Linked DNA regions of Rattus norvegicus. The protein of the gene in region 1 interacts with the protein of each later gene in a biochemical or structural test. Links are inferred from orthologs where the notes say so. Each region holds a gene or a part of one and is shown in the gene's direction. Other genes may lie near its edges.

Region 1 (4,208 bases):
TTCTCTGGACACCCATACTGGTCCTCCTTTCAGCAGCCAAAGGTACCAGGGGGTGAGAATGAGCCCCTATATAGAAGGGGATGCTCATTTGCATAGGCCTTCCTCCTCTCCCTCCAGAGGAGGGGAAACCTGGGAAGAAGGAAAGGGCCGGAACTGATTTCATCCCATTGCTCCAATGACAGTGTCTGGTTTCACTGGGTCACATTCACTGACACACACTTATTCTGGAAAGAGTTCGCTGATGGGCAGCCGCAATTCATATACTTCACAGTCACAGTTCAGCAAGGCAGAGTCAAGAGAATTGAGTCAAACCAAAGAGTTCCTTAAGACAGAAACAGCACCTTTATCCAAAAGCAGCCAGAAGGGGCTGGGAGTGTAGATTGCCAGCAATGAAACAACACAAGCAGCCAATGAACCCCGAAACAGTGAGACAGTATTAAGCTAGGCTGAGAAACGACTCTGTTATCTAGCCAAAGAATCCTTTACAATAAGAGTCCCGATTGATTTTCCAGCCTGGCCTACAGAGCGAGTTCCAGGACAGCCAAGATTACACAGAGAAACCTTGTCTGGGAAAAAGAAAAGAAAGAAAAAGGAGGGAAGGAGGGAGGGAGAGAGGGAGGGAGAGGGAGGGAGGGAGGGGAAGAGGGGGAGGGAGAGGGAGGGAGGGAGGGAGAGGGAGAGGGAGAGGGAGAGGGAGAGAGAGAGAGAGAGAGAGAGAGAGAGAGAGAGAGAGAGAGAGAGAGAGATTGAATTCGTGTTCCACATGGCCTCACCCGGGAAACCGAGCCAAACGGATCTCTGTGAGTTTGAAGACAACGTGGACTTTTGAACGCATTCCAGCCAACAAGGGCTGCATTATGAGATGTTTCAGAAAAGCAGGTGGGAGTGCTGGAGAAACGGCACCTCTGTTGAAAGCACAAGCTGCTCTTGCAGAAGACCAGAGTTCGCCCAGGACCTCAGCTCCCGGGGATCTGCTGTTTCCGTGAAAACCTACAGATACGCAAACACACACCTAATTTAAAATACGTATTTTTTTCTTTTAAAGATTCCCAGGTTTAGTTTTTTAAAAGAGACTTTCTTGGCCAGGTGGAATTTAATCTCACCCAAGGGATGGTGAAAATTGTGAGGGAAAGGTAAGAAAAATCCGTAGACCAGAAACAACACCAGTTCTGGCCCGCGGAACCTAAACCAGGAACTAGGGGAAAGTTGCGCCTCGGCCCCTCCGCTCGCCTGCCGGGGGCGGGGCCTCTGAGGCGGGAGCGCGGGGTCCGGTCCGCCCTCGTGACGTGAACCAATCGGAAGGACGGGGGGCGGGGCCAGGGAAACGCGGGAAGGAGGGGCGGGGCCTCGGATGGCAGGCTGGAGCAGTGGGGGAGGCGGCAACATTGTTTCAAGTTGGACAAATTGTCAAGAGCTGAGCTCTGCTTGCGTTCCATCCCGAGCTAGGGCTGCCGTGCTCACCCGGGCCCCCAGGTCCTCCGCTCCGAGTGTCCGGCCCGCTTTCGTCAGGGTTCCCGGGCCCCGCTCCCGGGGGCCTGAGCCGCCTCACTAGCGCTCCATGGAGAACTTCCAAAAGGTGGAGAAGATTGGAGAGGGCACGTACGGAGTGGTGTACAAAGCCAAAAACAAGTTGACGGGAGAAGTTGTGGCGCTTAAGAAAATCCGGCTCGACACGTGAGTGGCCTCCGAAGCCGGAACTCCTTTGCCCGGACCTCTTGGCTGCCCCCCCCCCCAACCCCTTACCCAAACAGGCGGGTAGCCTCCCGGGACCGGAAGGTGGCGGGGAGGGACTCCTGAAGCGAGCGGTGGGTTGGCGGACGGTGGACGCTCTCCCGGAGGAGACTGTCCGGGGCTAGAATTCAGGGGAAAGTTTCTTGTCGTGCTCCTCCCGGTGTGCTCCCAGATCTGCAAGCCGAGAGACTTGGGAAGAGAAAGTGGGAGGTGGGAGCTGAGGTAGGATCCAGGGCTGTTCATGGAGTTGGGTTATGTGGGAACCAGAGAAAAGCTCCTTTCTGAGTGGAGAGCTCTTCTCACTACTCCAGCACCATACTTAGAACCCTCACCCTCTTTCAAAAGAATGGCAGTTGAGATTCACTGGTTCTCTGGGGAGGCTGGGAGCTACTCTCAACCCCCTCCGCTATTACCTTTCCTCTGCTTTTTATTCACCTGGAGGCTTCCCTTATCTTCCACTGGAAAAAGAGGAAATAATGACCTTGAATATTGTCTAAAAGCCACACCCTGACTACCCAGGAATTAACCCCTGACAACACCTTTCCTTTCTGACTTCCTAATGGGTTTGGGGGTTGTGTATCCCTGAAAGAATAATGTTTGTAACCGTCTTCCCGCCTCTGTTTCCCCAACCTCTCCAAGTGAGACTGAAGGTGTGCCCAGTACTGCCATCCGAGAGATCTCCCTCCTTAAGGAGCTCAATCACCCTAACATCGTCAAGTAAGTCTACTCTGAGGGATGATCCCCAAGATGAATTCTGTTTGCTTGGCCTCACAATTTCTCTCCCTCAACTCTGGTTCCTGGAACTTCCCTTGCAGGCTGCTGGATGTCATCCACACAGAAAATAAGCTTTATCTGGTGTTTGAATTCCTGCACCAGGACCTCAAGAAGTTTATGGATGCTTCTGCTCTCACTGGCATTCCTCTTCCCCTCATCAAGGTAATCCTGCTCAAGTCTAGCCTACACGCTTTAGGGGAAACTAGAAGCAGGTAATTCGGACTAGTAATGATTTATTTTGGCTTTTTTTCCCCTCAGACTTCTGACTTTAACACACTCCCCCCTTTCCTGTCATTAGTCATTAACCCTAGAATGGACAGAAGAATCCAAATTGAGCTCCTGTGAACCAACCAAGGCAGCTCAGGCAGGAAGGAGATCAGATAACACTCAGATACAGGAGATTGAGGGTAGATGAGTTCCTTGAAATAAATTCTCCCACCTGTGGTGTGGGAAAAACTAATCAGTGAGTCTCTGTGGTCTGTTTTCAAGCTAGGCTGGATCCTGGAAGCACTTTGAATGTATCAGCAAGTACCTACTCAACACATAGTCACTTAACACCTTCAGTGTTGCTAGACACGGGGGTTGAAAAAAGGGATGCAAAAGTTGAGTAGTATCTGGTCTATATCCTTGCCAGGCTGAAAATTCAGTGAAAGACATCGCTATTAAAGGTGTGGTTATGCTGTAGTTGTGTGTGTTGGTTTGTGTCTGTAATCCTAACACTTGGGAGGCTGAGGCAGTAGGATGTAAGTACAAGGGCAGCCAAGCTACAAAGTTCCAGGCCAGAAAGACAGTATCTTTAAAAACAAGCAGGACTGACAAGATAGCTCAGTGGTGAAAGCGCCTGCCTCCAAGCCTAATGACTTGACGGCCTGAACTCCATCCCTAGGTCCCACACAAGAAGAAAAGGAGCTCCTGCAAGTTGTCCTCTGACTTCTACACATGCACTGTGGCATGCCCCTGCCCCCATAAATAAACAAACAAATAAAATGTAACTAAAGAATTAAAGAACCCCTCCCCAAGTATATGGTATAGTTCTTGTGCAGCATATTGAATTTTTTTTAAAGATTTATTTATTTATTATATATAAGTATACTGTCGCTGTCTTCAGACACACCAGAAGAGGGCATCAGATCTCATTACAGATGCTTGTGAGCCACCATATGGTTGCTGGGATTTGAACTCAGGACCTCTGGAAGATCAACCAGTGCTCTTAGCTCCTGAGCCATCTCTCCAGCCCAGCATATTGAATTTTGAGGATAAAGAATAAGTCATATCTGTTTGATGAAACAAACCTCCCTCTCTCCTTTGTCAGAGCTATCTGTTCCAGCTGCTCCAGGGCCTAGCATTCTGCCATTCTCACCGTGTCCTGCACCGAGACCTTAAGCCCCAGAACCTGCTTATCAACGCAGAGGGGTCCATCAAGCTGGCTGACTTTGGACTAGCAAGAGCCTTTGGAGTCCCTGTCCGTACTTACACTCATGAGGTAAGTCCCTTTATGGTTTTCCTTAAGGATCTTGGGAGATGGGGCTGGAGAGATGGCTTAGTGGTTAGGAGCACTGACTGCTCTTTCAGAGGTCCTGAGTTCGATTCCCAGCAACCACATGGTGGCTCACAACCATCTGTAATGAGATCCGATGCCCTCTTCTGGTGTGTCTGAACAGAGTACTCATATACATTAAATAAATAAATTTTTTTTTAAAAAA
Region 2 (3,500 bases), on another chromosome or scaffold:
TTTAACTTGATGATCTCAGAAATGTCAACTGTCACAAAAATCCAGATCTTTCCCTCCGTCGATAAGCATCAAGTGTGGATCAGATGTGTTTGAACCATAAGGTGCCCCTGGGCGCTGTCTGACTCTGGAGCCTAGAGCTCAGCAGTGTGTCTGTCCTCAGCCTGCTGTGAGGAGGGTTGTCCAAGGGCGTCCACTTCCTCTGGTGGCGAATGGAGTTCTGGGTCCATGAGGGTGCTGTCATTGCTCCTGTTCGTTGGTTTTCAGTGAAGCATTGCAGTCTGTCCAAGGAACCATTTCAGGGATTGTACAACGTATCGAGATGCCTTCAGAAACAAGTTACTAATCCATTGCTCAGTCTGAAATGATAGGCCTTGCGAGAAGTTCTTACATTCAAACGAGAATCCTTTAAATAGGGACACTGAACCACAGAACAGCCTGGTCTTCACAGTCGCAGATGACTAGAGGCCGGTGCTGTCAGTAGTAAGAAGTGGGTCCTTTAAAGGATCTACTAAGACGGGACAGAGCAGGGTGGGCTTGGTGGTGCATGCCTGTGGAACAATTGGACCTCTGAGTTCAAGGGCAGCTTGGTCTTCAGAGCACGTTTCAGGCCTACCAAAGCTGCACAGTGAGCCCCCATCTCAACAAGGGATAGCGCTCATCTGGTGTAGCCAGTGAGAAAGAGTGTCCTTCTGGGCCTGTGAGTCACGTACGGGCTGTTTCCTCTAGTTTTTCCGAGTCGTACTCACGTGGGCCAAGGTGGTTTCCTCACCTGACTGCACAGGATAGTATGGCGCTGAGAGTACTTTGAAGGGCCTGCTGTGCTGACAATGTCACCGTGACAGCTAGCCCTTCCTCTCAGGCACTGCCTGTGTCAGCACTCGGCAGCTAGTTGCCCAGTGTTGGATGGACCCTTTCTCTCTTCGGCTCACGTGTCTGCTGGGCTCGACCTGGGGGCCCCTCTCTGTTCTGTGGCTAGGATAACTGGAATAGCCATAGACTCCCCCCTCTTTTGGGGGATCACTTTCCCCAGTTCCCCGATGTCCCCAGTACCCCTGTTCAGCCATCTCTTCTACTGCCGAGAGGGAATATCTAGTTCTTGTTGCATTTTGTCCAGAGGTAGAAGAAGACTTTGACTTGTATCTTTAAATGCAGAAAGGGACCAAGGGAGGAACCACCAAAGCTTGAAGGTAGAAGCATGCCCTTGTGCATAGTTGTGGCTCTTGAGCTGGGAAGGGGTAGAGTGAGAACACGGGGGAACGTGGCAAATGGGTTCTCACCACGTTTCTGTCTCCACCGTGATGATTGAGGGGACTTGTGGAGATAGATCATGACCTCACGACACGTTCTGTAGAGAGGGCATACAGGGAGGGTGTAGTCTTTTCAGGCCTGCCTGTTTCTGGGACGTCCCACATACGTACTTTGATGGGGCAACACTCTCCAGTATTGTCCTGGCCTCCTCCCCCCTCTTCCTGTCCTTTCTTTGAGGACAGCTGCTGCTCTGGGCCCCTGACCTAGACTTTTGCAGGCAGGTAGGCAGGCAGGCAGGCAGGCAGGCAGGCACCATTGGACCACTGTGGTAGGGGAAGGTATCTGTGGGGAAGCGGTGGGCATGACCTGGAAAGTGAATCTGCTCTTCTTTGCTGAGCTGCTGCCTCTGGCCTGTAGCAGGTTTGTAACCCCAGATCAGAAGTATTCCATGGACAACACTCCCCACACACCAACCCCGTTCAAGAATGCTCTGGAGAAATATGGACCACTGAAACCCCTGGTATGTGGCATGGATGCTGTGAGTCTCTGGGCTGGGTTTATCTAACATGGGATGACGAACCCTTTTTTCTCTGGGGTCTCTATATTCTAGCAAAGTACAGTTTCCACTTGTCACCTCATCTACATGCCCTGAGTCCCCTCAGCGCACCGGGCAGATACTGGCTGGCTGATGAGGTAGTGGTGACTTGGATGGGGGATGTGGATATTAAAACGCATGCTATCTAAAAAACGGAAGAGTTTACTGTAAAGGAAAGGGTTGAGAGGTGCTGGCCACACGCCTATAATACCAGTACCTGGCTGGTGGAGGAGGCAGGCAGATCAAAAGTTCGAGGTCGTCCTCTGCTGCCTAGCAAGTTTGAGGCTAGCCTAACTGGCACGAGACCCTATTTTTAAGAAAAAGCTGGAAGCCAGGTATGGTGGTCTTCTAATCCAGCACGTGGGTTCCTGGGGCAAGCGGATGGAGAGCCAGTCTTCACAACATGGGGAGGAAGGAAGGGAGCTCCTGAGCAACGGAAATGGACACCCTTGTGTCCCAGTTAGTGTGGAGCAAAGACAGAAGGAGCGTGGCTTTCGGGGCTGTAGGTTCTTTAGTTTTTGAGGTAACTTGTCTACAAAGCCCAGTGTCTTAGGTTTCTGTTGCTTTGGTAAAAAACATTGTGACCAAAAGCAACCTAAGAAAGATAGGGTTTATTACAACTTACAGTTAAAGTCCATCACTGAGGGAACTCAGGGAAGGAACCTGGAGGAGGGAACTGATGCAGAGGCCATGGAGGAGTTGTCTTCTTATACACTCCTGGACCACCTGCCCAAGAGGGAGGGGCACAGCCCACCCTTGGCCCTCCCACATCAATCTCTAATGGAGAAAATACCTGCACAGATTTGCCTATAGCCCAGTCTCACTGGGTGTCTCATTTCTCAGTTGAGGGTCCCTCTTCTCAGATGACTCTAGTTTGTATCAAGTTAATGGAGATCTAACCAGCACACTCAGATCACCCCTGAACTTGCCTGGGGCCAATTCCTCCACCTTGGCCTCTTGGGTGCTTAGGTCATAGAAGGTGGTGCTGTCTAAAATTCCTGGGTTCAAGGGGTGCTTCTACCTCCACACATGAGAGCTGGGACTTGGTGGAAGACTGGGCTCACGAATCTGAGCTCTAATGACTGCTATGGTTTGGGTCGGGCCCTCGGTGTGAGCCTGAGTTTCAACTCTGGACATGGTAATTGCTACACAGCATTATGGGGGTGCAGAGCTGAACCCATAGGCCTTCGGGGTTAATGTCTTCGTCCGTTTGTCCAAGGCAGGACAGTTCATGGTTATGAGCAGTGCACATGAGGTCATCGTCCTGGCGTGAGCTCTCTGCTTGCCTGTACTGCTTACCTCTTAGACGTACACGTCCTGCAGTCTAAGTGGCCCTCCCATGCTCACCCTCGCCTCTGCCCACAGCCCCAAACCCCACACCTGGAAGAGGACTTGAAGGAGGTGCTTCGTTCCGAGGCTGGCATTGAGCTCATCATTGAGGATGACATGAGACCCGAGAAACAGAAGAGAAAGCCTGGGGTGAGTGGCTGTGGGCTTGACCCTCAGCTCTGCCTGGGCAGTTCACATAGAAAGCCAGACCTGAGGGCTGGAGGACCCATAAGTGCCTTACGTGACTGCTCCTTCCAGAGAGGGCCCTGGCTTCTCACCTGGGTCCTTCCGTACTGTGAATGATGCAGCCTTTCTTCCAGCGTTGTGA
Region 3 (3,500 bases), on another chromosome or scaffold:
CTTCTCTGGCCAGAAGATAACCATCCCAGTAAATGTTCTTGTCTGCCCGTGTGCAAAAGATACCACCATTTATCTCCTCAGTTGCTCAAGCCAAACATGGATATGTCATATCATCCAGACACGAATGTATCATCCTTCATACATGTATTTATTGTCCTCCACATCTTCATTTTACTCCTAAATGGTGCCTGTCATCAAGTACATAAAAATTTATCCAAATCTGGCTTGCCTCTAATTCCAACAGCTGGGAGGCCAAGGCAGGAGGATTGCATGAGTTTTTAGACCAGACTGAGCTATAGTGAGATTATGGACAAAAAACAAACAAGTAAAACAAACCCAAAATATCTTTTTTCCCCTGCAAGTTGGTTTCACACTTTGAAAAATGTCATGGTTAATGTGTTTTTAACTGGACAGGATCTGGAATAATCTAGAGACAAGGCTGTGAGGGATTATTTAGATTCTAGATAGTTTCTGAGGCTTTGAGGGATTATCTTGGTTAGGTTATTTGGTGAGAGAAGACCCATTTTAACTGGGCAGGATCATTCCCTGGAGGGGTCCTGGACTATGTAAACAGGAGAAGGTTTCTGCTCCCTGTGTGGATGTGATGTGACCGCTGCCCCAGTGCTGCAGCCTTGATGGAACTGGGCACCAGAGTAGACGCTTTCTCCTTAGGTTACTTTGTTAGTTTTGTTTGGTTTCCATTATGTGAACAGGAAAAGGAAAGGGCTGAGGTCTTCGTGCTTTTAGATGCTTCCTTGTCTGGTTTTCCTACTTTATTGATATCCATGTTCCTTCCTTGTAAAATCCTTTCTTTTACACATAGGTCCAGCACTTTGAGTAAGATGTATGTCTAGAGGAAACTCCTGCATATACACCATAACTCCCACCCCCCTTCCCCTCCCACCCCTCATACTTCCCTCCCAGAGCTGAGGACCGAACCCAGGGCCTTGCATTTGCTAGGCAAGTGCTCTACCACTGAGCTAAATCCCCAACCCCTACACCATACTTTTGTGAACTGTTCTGTGTACCCACTCTACACCCTTTCTCCCTTTAGAAAACAGACAGGCAAAAGAAGACCAGGTATGGTGACATACGCCTTTAATCTCAGGAGTTGGGAGTTAGAGACAGGTGTCTGAGTTCTAGACCAGACTGGTATACAGTGAGTTCCAGAACAGCCAGAACTACATTGAGAGACCCTGTCTCAAAAAACAAAATAAACGCACAAAATACACACACACACACACACACACACACACACACACACACACACACACACACACACACGGTCAGAAACCATAGCACACAGGGCAAAGACTATTAAGAACAAAACAGAACAAAACCCAAACAAAACAATGTGTGTCTATAAAAATGAGTGAAGCCTTTGTTGTTGTGCTGTTGTGTTGGCCGTCTGCTGCTGGGTAGGGCCTGCCTTCCCTGTGGTCAGTACCCCGGAGACTCGGTTGGTTGCATGTGGTTAGTATACCTGTGAGACTCCGTTGGGGAAGGCTAATTTCCTTTGCAAGCAGGTGCCAGTTGCAGGAGAGTCTCCTCGTTAGGGGTGGGAGCCCATATCTTACCCCGCAGTGCTGGACCCCATCTGGTTTGGACTTGTGTGTGCTGCCCCAGCTTCTGTGAATTTATGCATGTTTCAGTATTATATCTGGAAGAGTCTGTTTTCTTGGAGTCATCCATCCCCTCTGGCTCTTAAATTTTCTGCTCTTCCGTATAGCTCTCTGGGCTGACAGAAGAGGTTTGAGGATGTCAGGCTGAGTATTAATAGGTGTAAAATGCTTAGACCAAAGCTTGGCTGGTCATGGAGATGGTCAGGGGGTGTTACTAGGCGTATCGCATCTGCTGATAACTCGTGTTATCTGCAGATATTTCATGTTTGCATTGTTAGAGTGGCCTTGTAGCTGGTGCTATTTTAGTTTGAAAATTTTATCTTTTATATGTCAGTTAAATGCTTATATTCATGAATGTGATTTTGCGTCTTCTAGTAGTGAGTACATGTACATTGCACAACTAATTCTTTTTAAGGCATAAAGTTACGGTGCGTTCGACCTTCCCTCTAAGGTTCATGTGCATTTTCCACCAGGGGGCAGGACAATGTCATGGGAGTGAAGTACTGCTTCAGGAAGAACGACCATGTGGTGATTGCTATGCCCTACCTGGAACATGAGTCTTTTCTGGTAGGTTTTAATCGTTTTTAACTTTAATCAGCTAAATGGTTAAATTGAAACAATTTGTGATGTGGTTCATAACTCTCTTTTAGGACATTTTGAATTCTCTTTCCTTTCAAGAAGTTCGAGAATATATGTTCAACCTTTTCGTAGCTCTGAAGCGGATTCACCAGTTTGGCATTGTTCACCGTGATGTGAAGCCCAGTAACTTTTTATACAATAGACGCCTGAAAAAGTGAGTGCCAAGAGTCCAGGAAGCGCTGGCATCGGGTTCACGCTGCGGAGCCCATCTCTGAGACGCAGTGTTCTCAGTGTGACTGGGGAGGGGGAATGGAATGAAGAAAGTGAGATTGTGTTAGGAACATGATGCGCATCCTGAGAGACGAACTTAGGTGGAAGGAATTGGAGCCTGGCCTGTTTTGACCTTTGACCTTGTTTTTATTTTTGTTTTAATGAGAATGTTGGATCACATAATCCATTTTCTGTGTGAAAACCAAAGTTATTACATGAGTATTTTTGTTGATTCTATATGGACACGACCTTATAAATATCATACTTAGGTATGGTAAGGACTTAAAAGTATTCACTGGCCCTTGTTTAGTTAGAAATTTTCTGCTGTTGCGCCATCTTCCCTGCTACAAGGCAGGGTTCTGTCGTTTGTCTCTGCTGAGTCCTCTTCTGCTAAGTCCTCTTCTGCCTCGTCTTGGTGCAGGCCAGGGAGCAGCAGACAGCACTCGGCCGGTTGGTTCAAGGACACAGCTTTAATGTCCAGCCTTAGCTATTAAGTTCTTGGGAATTTTTAGTTTTTCTTTTTTTAAAGAATATTATACATTCTTAATTGTTCTAGAATGAAGTATAGTTTTGGATGTGATTTGACAACATCACAATGTTATTAAGATTGAATCTCTCTAGGAGGGTGATAATACTCGATTTGCTTCTAAGGTATGCCTTGGTGGACTTCGGTTTGGCCCAAGGAACCCGTGACACAAAGATAGAGCTGCTCAAGTTTGTCCAGTCTGAAGCTCAGCAGGAAGATTGTTCACGAAACAAATGTCATGGAGTCATTGGACACAAGGGCCCACTGAGTCGCCCAGCACCTAAAAATGTGGATCAGCACATCACCACAAAAACTTCTGTCAAAAGATCCTATGCAAACGCACAGATTCACATTAAGCAAGGAAAAGACGGAAAGGTTCTACCTTTTACATTTTCAATAAGAACGATTTAGGAATGTTTCCCATCAACCAACAGAGGGAGACCTAATACTAGGAGAGCACTTAGGGTTAAGAAGCCTTTGCAAACCTACATTACATGTTTTAG
Region 4 (4,053 bases), on another chromosome or scaffold:
AGAGATGGCAAGCATGGGCTTTCTTTGCCTTTCTAAGATTCCAACCTCTATTTAACACAAATTGATTACGTATTTTTTTCTTGATCATTCGATGGTCCAGGAGACCATAAACCATGGTTGGCTGGTTGGTTGTTTTCTATCTGCCTGGCACAGAATTTGGTACATTACGGTAATGGGCTCCCTAAATGTTGTAGGTAGGAGCAAATGAAACTGACTTTAATTTCCATAAACTTTAGGCATCTGCCTGTGGATGTTAAGTCCCTAGCTGTTAGCTTTAAAGACTCAGGAATTCAGACCCAAGTCATCCTGGCTGCCAAGTGGGTCCGTGAAAGACCTCTGGGGCACAGGGGACTTAAACTGGCCAGTTGCTGGAAAAGCTGACATATCAAACTCCTGTTCCTAGTCATTTAGACCGTAGCCCTCGTTCTATCTCCCCTAAAGATCAAGGAACAATGTGAAATCCACATCATAAACAAAGCACAGTTGGAAAGGACCTTAGAAACAACGGTAGCAGCCCACCCACTTCATTTTATAATAGAAGAAAATGGGGTCCTAACAATTTAAGAGGCCATGGTAAATGAATAGTACAGTTGACCTAAAACCCTGGTGCCTCTCCTTTCTATGCCACTAGGCTGCCATCAATAGGACCCCCAAACTGAGGTGCATGGGGTTCCAGGTCATGAACTATACCTGATTATCTGCAAAACCTGGGTTTGGTCTAAAACCTTCCTGAATTTCAGTTTCCTTGTGGTACAGCCCTGAGGAACGATGATGAATGTACAATGAAATTATTGGGAACAAATACCAACAAAAGTCTCAGCGGGGATGGGATGGTATAAAGAACTCTTGAGGTGGGTGACCAAAGACTTGGGTTCCACTCGGGTCATTTCCCTGGGCCTATTTCCTCTGCAAAAGCAGGAAGCAAGCATGGCTGATGGCTGCTGCGACATTTCCACCTCTGCCCACCCAGGCTGAGGCTGAGGCCCTCCCTGGGCGAGCGGACTCATAGAGCCCGCCCTAGGGGTGAAGAACGAGGGGGCTCGAGTTACCATCCTGCAGCAGTGCCGTCTTCTCGGCCGACCGCAAAATCTCCAGCCAGCTAGTCACCGCCATCTTCCCTCCGCCCAGCAACGCGCCTGGCCACTGCCATGGCAACTACCCGACCGATGATCACTTCCGGATGACCCGGGAAGTATTCTGGGAACAGATTTTTTTTTTTTTCCCCCTTTTTCAATCCTCCTCCTCCCCCAATCCGTTTTCATTGGCTCCCATGGTGAGTTTATTTCTCTTTGCCGGGAGATTCTGGCCTACTTTGGACCGGTCCTGGGGCCGGGTGGAGTGGGGATGCTCCTAGAGCTTTGAGGGACCCAGCACCAGCTCTCTTCTGGCCCCAGCTGGGAGTCCCCGGTTCGTGCCAGCTGCTCGTGCAGTGAGTGGCACATCTGCTCCGGTCTTGCCCACCTCCAGCTGTGAGGGCACCCTCCAGCTGCTGTGGCTGCCCTCCACCTCCCTGCAGCTGCGGGGCTCAGACCCGCGCGAGGAGGCTGCGACAGGGGCAGGTGCACAGCGCACACAGCACTCCCCAGGTTTTCTTCTGCTAATGTACATTGAGGCTAGAGAAAGATGATGTGAGCTTTATGTGACATGTCCTTTAGACTTCAATTCATTGGGGGAGATGAAGACCCTCCTAAAGATGTAGTCCCCATTCCTAGCCCGTTATCATTTTGGAAAAGCCCCTTGGGAGCGGAAGCACAGGCGGATTCTGCGCTGTATCCCTCCCCCACTTAATGTTGTTTCTCTTCCGTCAACTCCCACTCCCACCCCCCACCCCCATCCCCGCAATAATCCCAGACTTTCTATGGCTTCCCTAGTACTATTAAGGTTGAAAGACTGGTGTGTGTGGCGCTCGTATTAAATCACTTAAGTTTAACTGGGGTTTCCGAGACTTCGGAGAAAGGAGTCTGTACCCCCAAGTCCCATCTCTATGCCAAAATAGTCAAGGGGTGGCTCTCGCTCTTGGCTTTCTGTATGACATCTGTCCTTAAACAGAAAGGTCCAGATCCAGCGCACTTCAATGGACCCCCAGGGCATCCTGAAGGCATTTCCCAAGCGAAAGAAAATTCATGCAGATCCATCATCAAACGCACTTGCAAAGATTCCCAAAAGGGAGGCAGGAGATGCTAGAGGTGAGCCCGTCCGCCCCCAGACCTCATATACTGGAATTCTCAGCCTTCCTGTTTTCAGTCAGAATCAGATAGCAGGAATGGCCTTACCTGTGAGGGGCCAAGATCTCTTTGTACATACCTTGTATCAGTTTCGGTTTCTGTCCTTTTCTCTTGTTTAGAGTCTCAATGTAACCTTGACCTTGCTGACAATCACCTTAAGCCCCGATCCTCCTGTCTTGACACTGCCAAGTGCGAGGCTTACAGGTGTGCGGCACCACATTCAGCCGGCACTTTGTCCTTTGATTTTGTTTTTGTTTGTTTTTTTGTTTTTCCGAGGCAGGGTTTCTCTGTGTAGTCCTGGCTGTCCTGGCACTCTGGCTCTATAGACCAGGCTGCCTTCAAACTTGAAAAGCAAAACAAAACAACAAAAAAGGAAGTTTGCTGTATGTTTGTGGTAGAATTCCTTGAAGGCATTTTGTTCACTGGATGGCAGGAAAATGAAGGGAGGTGACTTCAAACAATTCGTTATATCTAAAACTTTCTCAACTCACTGACGTACAACCTGTAATTCCAGCACTTGGAGAGGCAGAATGAATCAGAAACTCAAGGTTATCCTCTGCAACATAGTGAGTTTGAGCTAGCCTAGGCTACATGAGACCCTGTCTCAAATAATAGTGCAATAATAATAATAATAATATTATTATTATTATTATTATTATTATTATTATTATTATATAATGGTAATAGCATTTGCGTATCCTCTTCCCAGGATGGCTGAGCTCCCTGAGGGCCCACATTATGCCCACTGGCATTGGGCGAGCCCGGGCTGAACTCTTTGAGAAGCAGATTATCCAGCATGGTGGCCAGGTGTGCTCTGCCCAGGCCCCAGGAGTCACTCACATTGTGGTGGATGAAGGCATGGACTATGAACGGGCTCTCCGGCTCCTCAGACTGCCCCAGCTGCCCCCTGGTGCTCAGCTGGTGAAGTCAGCCTGGCTGAGCTTGTGTCTACAGGAGAAAAAGCTGACAGACACGGACGGATTCAGCCTTTCCAGCCCTAAGAGGTCGGCTGCCCTTAGCCTTTCTCAGGTGTTTGTTGATAATAACATTTGAGTTTCCATTGAGTTATTAAAAAAACAACTCCTACTTTTTAAGTTGGACATACCAAGGTTTCAGTGTAGAGGAAGACTGGGGACAGAGGCAGGTGAGACGTTTGATATTCTAACTGCCTGTGACCTCCCCCTGCCCTCTAGGTCCTTGAATGAACCACAGCCCAGCAAGTCAGGCCAAGATGCTTCTGCTCCTGGCACTCAGGGGGTTCTACCCAGGACAACGCTCTCTCTTTCCCCTCCTTGTACCAGAGCTGTATCTCCTCCCCCAAAGGCAGAAAAGCCACCAAAAACCCAAACCCAGGTGAGGAGCCTTCCAACTCAGGGTGCTGATCACAGAAACGGAAGGGCCTGGATTTTATACAGAAAATTCTAGGTATCTCTTGATTGTGCACCTGTCTGTCTCTTCCCAACACTTATCAGTCCTGCGTTCACCAAGTTATGTCTGCCATATACCACGGGGAAGCCCAGGGCTGGGTTCTAGAGGAGCCCCTTGGAACCTTTTCCTCCAGTCAAAGCAGGAGACACCTACCCACCAGACAACTCTCTCTTCTGAGGAGGGCCCAGATTTATTGTGTTCTTCTGTTCGCAGCTCAGCTCAGAGGATGAAGCCAGTGATGGGGAAGGGCCCCAGGTTAGCTCAGCAGATTTGCAAGCCTTGATCAGTGGGCACTACCCCACTCCCCCTGGGGAAGATGGTGGGCCTGACCCAGCCCCAGAAGCTCTGGGTAAGTGGGTCTGTGCACAGCCCTCAAGCCAGAAGGCAACTAATTACAACC
Region 5 (3,513 bases), about 110 Mb from region 1:
CCCAGGGCAGTTTGCTCAGAGCCATGGGGCAGCACCTATGATATAGACTGCACCCCCCATCAAGGCACACCCCACCTTGAAAAGGCAGTGGGAGAGGGGACCTTCCCCCCCCAGGGTGGGCCTCGGCGTCCTGCTTCTCACACCCCCAAAACTCCCAAGCTAGCAAGGCATGTAAATGAACTCTTATACTCAGGTATATGGAAGATGTGGGGGGGTCTTTGAGGAGAGCAGTCCACCCGGGAGGCCGGTCCGCATCTCCCAGGGGTCTCAGGAAGCTTTGGGGGGCTCGGGCTTAGGGAGCAATCTCCTCGCGGAGGTCCGGGGGTGCATCGAGGGGAGAGGAGACTCAAGAGGGGGAAGGGACAAAGTTTGAAAGTGCCCTTCCAACTCTTCCTGGGAAAGTTTCCTTGAGGTCCCCGCAGGCAAAGAGGGGGTAGGGGTGTCAGGGGAGCTGTGGTCCGGTGACCCCCGAGAGGTGACCGGACCCCGGGGAGGCGACCCCTCCCCCCTTGTCCCGACTCGGCCCGGTTGGGAGTCGCCCAGCTCAGGGCCGCGTGTGTTAGTTGTGGCCGCTTCTGAGCCGCTCCGCCAGGTTGGGGGACCCCGCAGGCAGCCGGGAGTGGGGTCCCTGGTAGTCCCAGGGGAGAGCTTTCCTACGGGGGGTCTCAAGTCCCGGGGCTCCCCGCCTCCGCAGAGCCAGTCCCCCGCAAAGGGGAAATGTGCCGGTGCCCCAGCGCTCCTCGGCGCCGTTTGGGGCTTGTGGCGGGCGCGGGGGGCGGCGGCCGGGGCGCCAGGGTCCCCAGCGGGGAAGCCTAGGGAGCCGAGCAGAGACCCTGAGAGACGGCGGGCAGCGGGAGGGCCCGGGCCGCTGGGAAAGGTCGAGTTTGCTCGGCGGAAGAAACACAGATGGCGGCAGCGCGGCGCCATTCCGGGCCGGGAGCAGGCAGCCAGCAGCCCAGTCCTCACCGCGGTCCGCCCGCCGCCGCTAAATACCCGGATGCGCCGCCCGAGCGCCAGACGCAGAACTGGGAAAAGGGAGGCCGTGGAGGCGGAGGCGGAGGCAGCGCCAGGCGCCGGGAGAGCGACGGAACACTGGGGGCTGGGCGCGCAGAGCAGCTCGCGACCCGCGCCGGGAGGACAGGAGCCACGCGTCTTCCGTGTCCCCGGCAGCCACACTTTAGTCTGGCCTGCTAGTGGAGCGGAAGAACAGATCGCGAGTCAGGTTCTGCACAGCCTCCGGCGAAGGCTGGCCCTTTGGAAGGCTCCTTGAACAGCCGGAGCAGGCCGGCCACCATGACCGAGAACTCCACCTCCACCCCGGCGGCGAAGCCCAAGCGGGCCAAGGCCGCCAAGAAGTCCACGGACCACCCCAAGTATTCAGACATGATCGTGGCTGCCATCCAGGCAGAGAAGAACCGCGCCGGCTCCTCGCGCCAGTCCATCCAAAAGTATATCAAGAGCCACTACAAGGTGGGTGAGAACGCCGACTCCCAGATCAAGTTGTCCATCAAGCGCCTAGTGACCACCGGTGTTCTCAAGCAAACCAAAGGGGTGGGCGCCTCGGGGTCCTTCAGGCTGGCCAAGGGCGATGAGCCCAAGAGGTCGGTGGCTTTCAAGAAGACCAAGAAGGAAGTCAAGAAAGTGGCCACTCCAAAGAAGGCAGCCAAGCCCAAGAAGGCTGCTTCCAAAGCCCCAAGCAAGAAACCCAAAGCCACCCCGGTCAAGAAGGCCAAGAAGAAGCCGGCTGCCACGCCCAAGAAAGCCAAAAAGCCCAAGATTGTCAAAGTCAAGCCAGTCAAGGCATCCAAACCCAAGAAGGCCAAACCCGTGAAGCCCAAAGCCAAGTCGAGTGCCAAGAGAGCCAGCAAGAAGAAATGACAATGAAGGCTTTGCTTGGGGACACTCCTTCCTCCCTCCTGTTTTCTGTAAATACATTTCTCTCTTGATCCCATCTGCAACCCTTTGCCCATTCTATTTGGACTCTATAGAGGACAGAGTTTGGCTTCCTCAGACAGACTTTGTGGAATATTTTCCTTAACCCATTGTTCAAGGACAGCAAACAGACCTCATCTTTATAATGATGGAGATGTACTTTTTTCTTGATTTGATATTAACCTTACGGGGTTGTGGGGGGGGGGGGCGTTGTGTGTTTCCTTCGGTGGTTTGTTTACTATGAAGGTAAATGGAACTGGCAAAGTTCTGGGTAGGTGAGGACCCAGGAACTAGGTTGCTTGTCCCTAGTGAGCGTTTCAGAACCTTTGATGAGCAGGTGATACCCCATCTACCTGGCCAAGGGGGGTTGTGGGGGAGAAGAGGATAAACTCCCTGGGCTGCCCTACCAATGGTGGTAAGTTGGGGGACCTGATTTCTTTTTCTCTTCTGCCCTAGTGCCTCTCCAAGTGACAGCTGGTTAGAGAAGCCATAGCTTCTCACAACCGGGATTTAGCCATTGGGAAGGAAGGGTCTTCTCAGCAGTCTCTGGTTAAATGGGAGTGGACTTAGGGGGAGGGGTGCAGAGTCAGCCAAGTGCCTCAGTGTGCCTATGGAAACTTGGGTTTTTCCACACGGTTGATGGATTGTGTCCTAGGAGGACGTTGTTCGTTTCCTTTCCCCTCTTCCTGTGTAAGATGTGGCATTGCTTGGTGCCACTTCAGTTCTACCAGCTGCCACTTAAAACCCCTCCAAGCTTTTGAGTCTTTTCTAAGTAGCCGAGGAGGGGGAGAGGCAGGGAGTGGACTGTGGGATATACTCCCGTGGATTCGAATTTGCTAGGTAGCTTTAGAGAAGCGGGATTGTGTGCATGTGTGTATATGTATATATCCATATCTAAGACTAGTACTTAGTCTCACCTCGGGAGCTGGGAGAAAAACTCTGTACAGTTGTCCTCTTATTTTAATAAAGTAGGAAACTCGGGTACCCTACCCCACTTTTTAAACAAGTGTAACTAGTGCCGGGAAAAAATTACTGTGGTTGTAATTTTAAAACTTTAAAATAAAACTGGAAAGGAAAAAAATCTGAGTGGTGCATTTTTCTTTAACTGGAGAAGAGAGGAGCAATCTGACGGGCAATGTGGGGAGAGCTGGTGGTGCCACGTTCGCGCTAGAGAACAGCAAAGCTTTGGAGGGACCGGAATGCTCAAGCAGGTCCGCTGAGCACGTAGGTGGGTCTTTGGGAGAGGTGTGTTGGTAGGCTCTAAGAAGGAGAGGCATTGAAGTCGCTTTTCTCCCCCTACTCAGCTTCCCCAGCGCGGACCTTCCCAGTCTCGACTTACAAATCAATCTTTGCGTCGCGGGCAAACGCTGTCAGGCTCCGCCTGCGGGTGGGGTTAACCATCCAGTTAAAGTAAGCTCCTGTTGTTCTGATTGGCTGCCTGGGCCCTGCCCACACCTCGTGACGGGGAGCTCTAGGCGGCAGGCTGGCCGGCACACTTCAGTCCGTGGGCGCGATGTGGGTCAACTTCTTGTGGCGCGCGGCGCTGTCCCCCGGCCGCCGTGCTCACTCAGCGCTGGCTCA
Region 6 (3,500 bases), on another chromosome or scaffold:
TGTCCTGGCACTCACTCTGTAGACCAGGCTGGCCTTGAACTCACAGAGATCCTCCTGCCTCTGTTAATAACTTTATGAGAGTTATTAACATTTATTGGTAGAATTAAATCATCTTTGGTCCTTGAAAAGTATACTATTTCTTTTAAAATACTGTCATTAAGGTATTTAAGTTAGGCATGTTGACACACACATGTATTTTCCAGCTGTCTGGGAAGCTAAGGCAGGAGAATTTCTTGAGCCCAATGTTAACTAATATTAATACATAGATTTTATGTAGTACAAATATCTGAAATTACTTAGACCTCACTTTTCTTTGTTCATTTCAGGGTGACTTGGTAGAAGAATATTTTGAAGCCCACAGTAGTTCAAAAGTCTTAACGTCTGATAGAACGCTGCAGAAGCTGAGGAGAGCGAGAGTGGACCAGGTGTGCTGCGAGGGTGTGGCCAGCATTCTGTTTATTGTAACCTGAAAATACAGCAGTAGCACATTTGGAGAGAAGTGAGCAGGAGCGGAATTATTTCCCTGATAAAGTAGAACACATGCTAATATGCTATCATCATTAAATGATTGCTGCGTGAATTATAGATAATACACTGATTAGAATTCTGTTTGACATAATTATCCTTTTTCTTTCATTTCTTTTTAGATTTAGATTTAGATTAAGGATTTAGAATAACTATCAAGGTCATAACGTTCTGATAACCATGAACTGCTGCTCTGTTCCTCGCTGTAATCCTATATTGACCTTTACATAGCAAAACCTGCAGCCCAACTGCTCACTTACTGGCTTTGCAAAAGCTGTCGAGGATATCTCCCTTGCTTTTTTGGAAAAGTTGTATGGCGAAGTAAAGTAGCAAGGGTGACCGTGCTGGATTTTCCCATGACCTCATTTGACAAAAAGTCTACTATGTCTGTCTCTGTTGGAATTTTGACTGACAGACACCTCTAACATAGGACACAACTGCTGAGTGGTGATGTCTTTCAAAGTTCAAGACCCAGTACCCTCTCCTAGCTTCCATGGGCGACTTACTTGCATATACCTCCCTCTACAATTAAAGAAAAAACAAAATTCTAAAAGGCCAGTTGGGTTTATAATTTGAAGGCAAGAAGAGAGTGTTATTAGCTGACATGACAGCTCAACAGTAAACCTGCTTACTGTACAAGGCGTGCCTCAGTTTCCAGCACCTACTCAGCTGTCTCACAACCACCTCTGGGCGCCATGAACACATTGGGTGCATAAACATATATACATATACATAAAAAAACCCATTAAAATAAAAAAGATTGAGAGTGTTTGAGGAAGATGCCCAACTTCTGGATTCCACATACTTGGGAAACATATCCCACTGTTAACAAACACATGAACACACACATGGACACACACACCTGATATAAATAAATAAATAAATAAATAAATAAGGAAGGAAGGAAGGAAGGAAGGAAGGAAAGAAGAAAAGGTTTTCCAAGAAAGCACTGGCACTAATAGTCTACTGTTTATCTTTTATAAGCCACATGAGAGAAACCTAAGTGTATCCAAGGGCAAAATGAGCCCTCAGAGCCTGATGATGATAGGGAAGGAGGGGTTACAGACGTAGCATGACCGTTTGCTTCTGCTGCTGTGGGTTAGTGGGAGGTTAGCAGGTCTAGACTATGCCCGTGTCTGCATGACTTGTTGGACCAGTCAGGTGGCTGAGGCATATTCGTATGATGATGGTAGAGACTTAAGGAGGAAAGCAGATAGCCTCTACAGCCTTGGGTAAACACTGGCAATCTTGTGCCTTGTTCTAGTGGCGGACCAGATGACGTGGCTGAACATAAGTCAGGAGTCAGGAAGCTATAATCCACTCAGAAGGGAAGGGCAGCAAATCAGAGGGTATGGACAGTGCAGTATGGTTCGCCTGAAAATTGACGACTCAGGTACAAGTGTGTAGATGAAAACAACAGCGCCAAGCTCATGCTCGGGTAAACATCCTCAGCCTAGTATAAGTGACTGAGGATGATGGTGGTGCCTTCTGTGCTCTGCTCTGACGTCCAAAGACATGAGCGCTTAAGATGAGTCTTATTTCTCCTAACTGTGAGTAAAGCTGTAGGAGCTGATATCCGGATTTTGATTGTAACCCTCAGTGTTGAAAGTGTGTGAGTCAGCAAGGTGGCCCAGCAGGTAAGGACACTGAGCACGAAGTCTGCCGCCACCTTCAGTTCTCAAGCTGCTCTGTGATATCCATACATGTGTATGTGGCCCATGTGTGCTGGTGCGTACAAGTGAAACAATGTGTTTGTTAAACCACAACAAGGCAGCACTAGAGTAAAGATGCGAATGGCTTTCTCTGGGATCTTCAGATTATAGTTGATTCCCCAGACTGAAATTTGGGAGTGTTTTCTATTACTACTGTCTTTACAGATTTTTACCTTACAGTGCAGTTTGTATCACTGTGACTAATAACCGGGACAGCAGCCTAAGAGGGGGAGGACTTAACTAGCTCCCAGTGGTAGTTGTAGATCCTTGTATTGTATACCCATCCCACAGCACCACAACACAACGCCAAAGACACAGCACTTGTGAAAGGTGGCTTTTGAAAGGGAGCAAATACAGGTTTATTATTGACGGTAAATTATAAAGGAACCTTAATGTTTTCTGAAAATTAATATTGAATCACTCTTTTTAAAGTTTTTCAAATCTACAGACTTGGTTTTCTTTGAATGTTGTTGTTTATAATGTTGATACTATTATGCAGACTTTAGCTCAGAGCTCACACTTGCTAGAAAGCACTCCAGCAGTGAGCTGCAGCCCCAGACTCCTAGGCTTGGAGACGTATTACTATTTTTTAAAGATAGCTTGTAATTAAACAAGTATTTAAGCCATCTATGACTTTTTTTTTAACATTCAATTGGTACCTGATTTAAGTCATTAACATTCAATGTTCGTACCTGATTTAAGTCATTATTTTCACTAAGAACTTCTGTCTCTCTTTTCTTTAAAGAAAACTCTGCGTAACTTACTGAGCAAATTTGTGCCTTCCTTTTCTACTGAAATTGGACAGTTGAATCAACAGCATGAGAGATTGTTTGATAAGTGGATACTACAGTTACGGTAAATTATTGGGACCCTGCACAGGGAGCAGTAAGTGTGTCTGTGTTAGAGCATGATTTGCCCGCTGTGATGGCAAATCCCAGCTCTTGGGGAGCAGAAGCAGGTGACCTCTGTGAGTTCAAGGCCAGCCTGGTCTTGATAGTGAGTTCCAGGACAGCCTGCACTACATAGAGAGACCCTGTCTCAAAACCCAAAACCAGTGCCAGGATGGTGGTGGCACATGCCTTTAATTCCAGTCCTCGGGAGGCAGAGGCAGATGGATCTCTGAATTTGAGGTCTCAAAAAAAACCCAAAAAACAAAAAGACAACCTTAACCAAACAAAAAACATAGTTACTGTATTTGATTTCAGGTTGGGGTATAGCTCAGTGGTAGAGCATTTGTACAGCATATTTGAGGGCTTAGGTCTC
Region 7 (4,234 bases), on another chromosome or scaffold:
TATAGAATAGAGTTTATTCAAATCATGGGGAGGGGAGTTAAGAGGGTAGAAGGGCAGAGAAAGTCAGAGAAAGAGAGAGAGAGAGAGAGAGAGAGAGAGAGAGAGAGAGAGAGAGAGAGAGAAGTAGAAAAGGAGAGGAGGAGAGTAGAGGCCGGCCATGAGCACATGGAGAGAAGGGGGGGGAGGGAATGGGGAGAGAAGTGACAAAGAAAAAAGAGGGTAAGAGCAAGAGAGCAAGAGAGGGGCAAGAGGGAGCAAGAGCGTGAGGACGGGGCAAGCAGCCCCTTTTATAGTGTCAGGCATACATGGCTGTCGCCAGGTAACTGTGGGGGTGGAACTTAGACAGAATGCTAACATATGTATGTGTGTCTTCATTTTGAGTCAGACCATAGGGGAGCCATTGACAAAACTCATCTGGACTTATGAAAGGCAGGTGCACGCATGTACCTAATTGTTTTTCCTTCATTTGTTTTGGTGGCTAAACCTAGGGCTCTATATGTCACCCATCAGGCTCCTGCTGAGCTGCATTCCTTGTCTTCTTTTTTATTTTTAAGGAACCATCTGATTTCCTGCTTATCTATCTCATGTCCTTATGAATGCAGGAAGAAATGCCAATCACATATCTCCGTGTCTTCAAGGTTGCGGATCAAGACACAGCCAATCAAGGCGGTACTAAAGGCAATAGCACGATTGATTCAGTGAATAAAATTTGTCTTTATACCATTTCTAATGTGCCATCGACTCTTGGAATACTGGTGATGGCTTACTGGAGAGTTTTGAATTCAGACTTCACATTTTTTTCTTTTTCTTTTTCTTTTTTTTTTTATTTTTCGGAGCTGGGGACCGAACCCAGGGCCTTCCGCTTGCTAGGCAAGTGCTCTACCGCTGAGCTAAATCCCCAACCAGACTTCACATTTTGTATATGAGGAAATGAAGGCTAGAAAAACAAGTGTTTTAAACTTAATAATATGGAGGCTAAAGAGATGGATCCGTGGGTTTCGATTTCCTCTTTCAAAAATACAAGGTGAAGAAAGATTGAGGAAGACACCGGATGTCAACCTCTGTCTTCATATGTACGCGTGCTTATGGGTTACAGACTTGGACTCCTCAGTAAATCCTAACTTCCCATTTGACAAAACTACCTACAGATTTTAAAAAAAGAAAAGAAAAGAAAAGAAAAAAGAAAAAGAAACAAAAGGTGGGGAGGACCACAACTCCCAGAATGCAGTGCTTCCTAGTCTTCCTTGTTGCTCAATGGCTAGGGGGTGGGTTTTGAGCCTCTTTTCTGTGTCATTGGCCAGCCTTCCTATTAGGGCGGAGAAAGCGACCATTTCTCTCCAATCCAAGAACCGAATAAAAGGCTATTGAAGAAGTCAGCCAATTAGAACGCGTCTGTGCTCCCTGCTTCCTCCACCATAAACTTCCGTGGCGGGAAAACTTGGGAAGTTTTCGCGCCAGGGAGGAGTCACACACGTTTTTATTTTTTGCGGGACTCTTTGGTGGCCGGCGATTTCGGGGCAGCGGCATGGCGGGTACCGTAGTGCTGGACGACGTGGAGCTGCGCGAAGCGCAGAGAGACTACTTGGACTTCCTGGACGACGAGGTGAAATTCGGGCTGCGAGCCGGGTGCTGGGGTTCCCGCGGGTGACGGAGTGGCTGATGGGGTCTCTGTTGGTGACCGGGCACGGTGCTGGGGTTCCGCGGGTGCCGGAGCACAGCTAAAGGGGTCCCCGCGGGTGACCTGACCCGGGTGACCGGGCACGGTTCATGGGGTCCCCGCGGGTGACTTGGCCCGGGTGATGAGACACGGCTGATGGGGTTTCCGCGGAGGGCCCAGGCCGCTGATACGTCCTGTTATCTTTTTTTTCTTTTTCCTTCTTCAGACAGACCTCAAGATTTTAAAAGCTACTTTCCTTTCATGTTAATTATACGTACTAGTTTCATTATGAAAACTTCATAAACATATAATGTATTCTGGTCATATTTCTTTCTTTCTCACCACTCCTTTTCATTGCTGCTACTGATCACCCACGCCTAATTACTGTCTTTTTTTTTTTTTTTAAATGAGTCAATGGGTTTTCTCTTGTTTTTTGTTTGTTTGCCGTGTTGTAGATGGTACCCAGGCCTTGTGCTTGCAGTCACCCCCACCTCCACCCCCACCCCTAAACTTGAAAGGAGACTGGTCAGGTGTAAACAGATGAAAGGCCGTCTTAACCCTTCCTTGGAAGGGCTAATGCAACTGGCTCCCAGCCCTCAGATTTAATGACTGATGGGGTGGGGGCGGGACTAACAACTTAGGCTTTCTTTTTGAGAATTCAAAGTGTTTTCTATGCAGGTAAGATGGGGTTTAAGTGTAACCTAAATTTTAAAGGATGTTGAGCCCTGTAAGTTTGTTGATGAAAAGCAGTTTGAATTTTAAGAGTATTTATTTATTTACTAGTCTTTAAGATTTAGGTCATTCTAAGTCCCAGCTAAAATGTAAGCCTATAGGACAACTGTCGATTGTAGTAGCATGTGATAGGGGATGCTGGGCAGGAGGAAAGGTTGTCTGCAGCCATCTACTCCCTGGGCACCATTTGAGATGTGTATCGACATGCTGGCATTCTTGTGTGTAAGTGACATAATTAGTATCCAGTGTCATTTTCGTTGGTGTAGGCTTTAAGTAGCTCCCAAGTTCCAGCTTTGGACTTTTGAATACCTTCATGTTGACTTCCCCTCCACATCCCCCCATCATGAACCCCATTATACATTGAATGCTAACCGGTCCCCAATGCTCTCGTGATAAAGACAACAGGTATGCTTTCCTTGTCCAGAAAGGCCTAGACCTTACCCCATGATAAGGGAAGCCTGCTTTATAACGTAGGGAAGATCATCTTTCAGACAGAAGCATGTCGTACCAGAGGACAAGATAAAGAACACAGAAATGACTGTCCTGCCTTCATGTTATCCGTCCTTAAGTACCTCAAGTTCTTGATACAGCTGCAGACCCCGCTGTTGTGTTTACCTGTCTTCTGAATGACACTTGTCTCCGGCTACCTTCAGGAAAGGCTTGCTCTCACTTGAAGACCCCTCTTTCTACCAGTGTTTACAGGGTCTCACTGTGAACCTATCTGCTCGTTTGCTCTTTTGGTTGTTGCTCTTAAAGCAGTCTTACTCTGTAGCCTAGCTTTAGATTCAGTGGTGATCCTCCTGCCTCAGATGCCTGAGTGTTGGAATTGTAGCGAAGCTCCGTGAGTTCTAAACAGCTTTTCCTCTTTGTGTCTCTCCCTCCCGGCAGCTTTGGAGATCCAAGCTTGCTATCAGTACAACCAAGAACCTGTAGAAAGGGGTCCCTGGGTGTCGTAGGTGACATTGACTTTATGATTCTTAGAGTCTCCTGATAGCTTGTGGGTGAAATCTGAGGCCAGAGAAAATGAAAGGGAGGGACTGAAGAACAGACTTTGTGTTCATCTGGGGTCTAGAGGGCTCCTTTCCAGGGTTGCTTCCGGTCTGAAACACTTTTGAGTTGTAAAGCTGTTTTGATATGTCTTAATTGATTTAATATGTCAAACAGTATGATTTGATCTGTCTTACTCCCGCTTCACAGGAAGACCAAGGAATTTACCAGAATAAAGTTCGGGAGCTGATCAGTGACAACCAGTATCGGCTGATTGTCAATGTGAATGACCTGCGCAGGAAAAATGAAAAGAGGGCTAACCGGTGAGCCGTGACCGGGTTTCCAGGGGTTCCACTGCCTGTGAGGGACAAAGGAAGGCATCATGTTTAGATTGGGACAGGCTTTCCTGGGAAAGACCTAGACTGCATGGACCTGACGTCCACACATGGAGGCTATCCTCTCCCAGAGAGGAGGTGGTAGCGTTTCGATCCCAGGTGCTCCCGTCTCCCAGTGTTTTGCTGAGCATCATTTCTTATATCTTTGATGAACTGATGTCAACTTCGGTTCTGACGTATTTTACCAAGTCTTTCACAGTGGTAGGACAAAGCAGACGTGGGTTTTCTTCACCGATCATAATGACCCAAGGTGGTTCCTTCTTGTATTGAGGGTCAGTTTCCTGAGCTCTGTCTAATGGGTCTTTGTCTTGACCCCGTGCAGCCTCCTGAACAATGCTTTCGAGGAGCTGGTTGCCTTCCAGCGGGCCTTGAAGGATTTCGTGGCCTCCATTGACGCTACCTATGCCAAGCAGTACGAGGAGTTCTACATAGGCCTAGAGGGCAGCTTCGGCTCAAAGCACGT

The links.
Region 2: of the proteins of Cdk2 (region 1) and Mybl2, one has a biochemical effect on the other in vitro, tested with the Homo sapiens proteins (3 studies listed by BioGRID). The link is inferred for Rattus norvegicus from reciprocal best matches to the Homo sapiens genes CDK2 and MYBL2.
Region 3: of the proteins of Cdk2 (region 1) and Cdc7, one has a biochemical effect on the other in vitro, tested with the Homo sapiens proteins (2 studies listed by BioGRID). The link is inferred for Rattus norvegicus from reciprocal best matches to the Homo sapiens genes CDK2 and CDC7.
Region 4: of the proteins of Cdk2 (region 1) and Poll, one has a biochemical effect on the other in vitro, tested with the Homo sapiens proteins (2 studies listed by BioGRID). The link is inferred for Rattus norvegicus from reciprocal best matches to the Homo sapiens genes CDK2 and POLL.
Region 5: of the proteins of Cdk2 (region 1) and H1f0, one has a biochemical effect on the other in vitro, tested with the Homo sapiens proteins (11 studies listed by BioGRID and IntAct). The link is inferred for Rattus norvegicus from reciprocal best matches to the Homo sapiens genes CDK2 and H1-0.
Region 6: the proteins of Cdk2 (region 1) and Orc2 form a complex in vitro, tested with the Homo sapiens proteins (2 studies listed by BioGRID and IntAct, with this or other methods). The link is inferred for Rattus norvegicus from reciprocal best matches to the Homo sapiens genes CDK2 and ORC2.
Region 7: the proteins of Cdk2 (region 1) and Mcm3 form a complex in vitro, tested with the Homo sapiens proteins (2 studies listed by BioGRID and IntAct, with this or other methods). The link is inferred for Rattus norvegicus from reciprocal best matches to the Homo sapiens genes CDK2 and MCM3.

What each region holds. Positions count from the first base shown.
Region 1 is NC_086025.1:1,719,079-1,723,286, reverse strand, and holds the start of Cdk2 (cyclin-dependent kinase 2), read left to right. Parts: upstream 1-1,408; 5' UTR 1,409-1,558; coding exon 1,559-1,674; intron 1,675-1,736; exon of another isoform or gene 1,737-1,953; intron 1,954-2,370; coding exon 2,371-2,448; intron 2,449-2,546; coding exon 2,547-2,667; intron 2,668-3,817; coding exon 3,818-3,988; intron 3,989-4,208. Other genes in the region: melanocyte protein Pmel 17 precursor, read right to left, coding at 1-16. UniProt on the Homo sapiens protein: Serine/threonine-protein kinase involved in the control of the cell cycle; essential for meiosis, but dispensable for mitosis. Phosphorylates CABLES1, CTNNB1, CDK2AP2, ERCC6, NBN, USP37, p53/TP53, NPM1, CDK7, RB1, BRCA2, MYC, NPAT, EZH2.
Region 2 is NC_086021.1:172,145,305-172,148,804, forward strand, and holds part of Mybl2 (myb-related protein B), read left to right. Parts: intron 1-1,665; coding exon of another isoform or gene 1,666-1,668; coding exon 1,669-1,768; intron 1,769-3,208; coding exon 3,209-3,322; intron 3,323-3,500. UniProt on the Homo sapiens protein: Transcription factor involved in the regulation of cell survival, proliferation, and differentiation. Transactivates the expression of the CLU gene.
Region 3 is NC_086032.1:2,959,657-2,963,156, reverse strand, and holds part of Cdc7 (cell division cycle 7-related protein kinase), read left to right. Parts: intron 1-2,095; coding exon 2,096-2,189; intron 2,190-2,272; coding exon 2,273-2,415; intron 2,416-3,122; coding exon 3,123-3,372; intron 3,373-3,500. UniProt on the Homo sapiens protein: Kinase involved in initiation of DNA replication. Phosphorylates critical substrates that regulate the G1/S phase transition and initiation of DNA replication, such as MCM proteins and CLASPIN.
Region 4 is NC_086019.1:254,354,890-254,358,942, reverse strand, and holds the start of Poll (DNA polymerase lambda), read left to right. Parts: upstream 1-1,253; 5' UTR 1,254-1,273; intron 1,274-2,049; 5' UTR 2,050-2,074; coding exon 2,075-2,186; intron 2,187-2,934; coding exon 2,935-3,229; intron 3,230-3,418; coding exon 3,419-3,578; intron 3,579-3,866; coding exon 3,867-4,053. Other genes in the region: protein DPCD, read right to left, coding at 1,050-1,113.
Region 5 is NC_086025.1:112,472,128-112,475,640, forward strand, and holds H1f0 (histone H1.0), read left to right. Parts: upstream 1-1,152; 5' UTR 1,153-1,293; coding exon 1,294-1,878; 3' UTR 1,879-3,013; downstream 3,014-3,513. UniProt on the Homo sapiens protein: Histones H1 are necessary for the condensation of nucleosome chains into higher-order structures. The histones H1.0 are found in cells that are in terminal stages of differentiation or that have low rates of cell division.
Region 6 is NC_086027.1:67,506,150-67,509,649, reverse strand, and holds part of Orc2 (origin recognition complex subunit 2), read left to right. Parts: intron 1-326; coding exon 327-425; intron 426-2,982; coding exon 2,983-3,092; intron 3,093-3,500. UniProt on the Homo sapiens protein: Component of the origin recognition complex (ORC) that binds origins of replication. DNA-binding is ATP-dependent. The specific DNA sequences that define origins of replication have not been identified yet.
Region 7 is NC_086027.1:30,730,947-30,735,180, reverse strand, and holds the start of Mcm3 (DNA replication licensing factor MCM3), read left to right. Parts: upstream 1-1,434; 5' UTR 1,435-1,525; coding exon 1,526-1,603; intron 1,604-3,586; coding exon 3,587-3,699; intron 3,700-4,093; coding exon 4,094-4,234. UniProt on the Homo sapiens protein: Acts as a component of the MCM2-7 complex (MCM complex) which is the replicative helicase essential for 'once per cell cycle' DNA replication initiation and elongation in eukaryotic cells.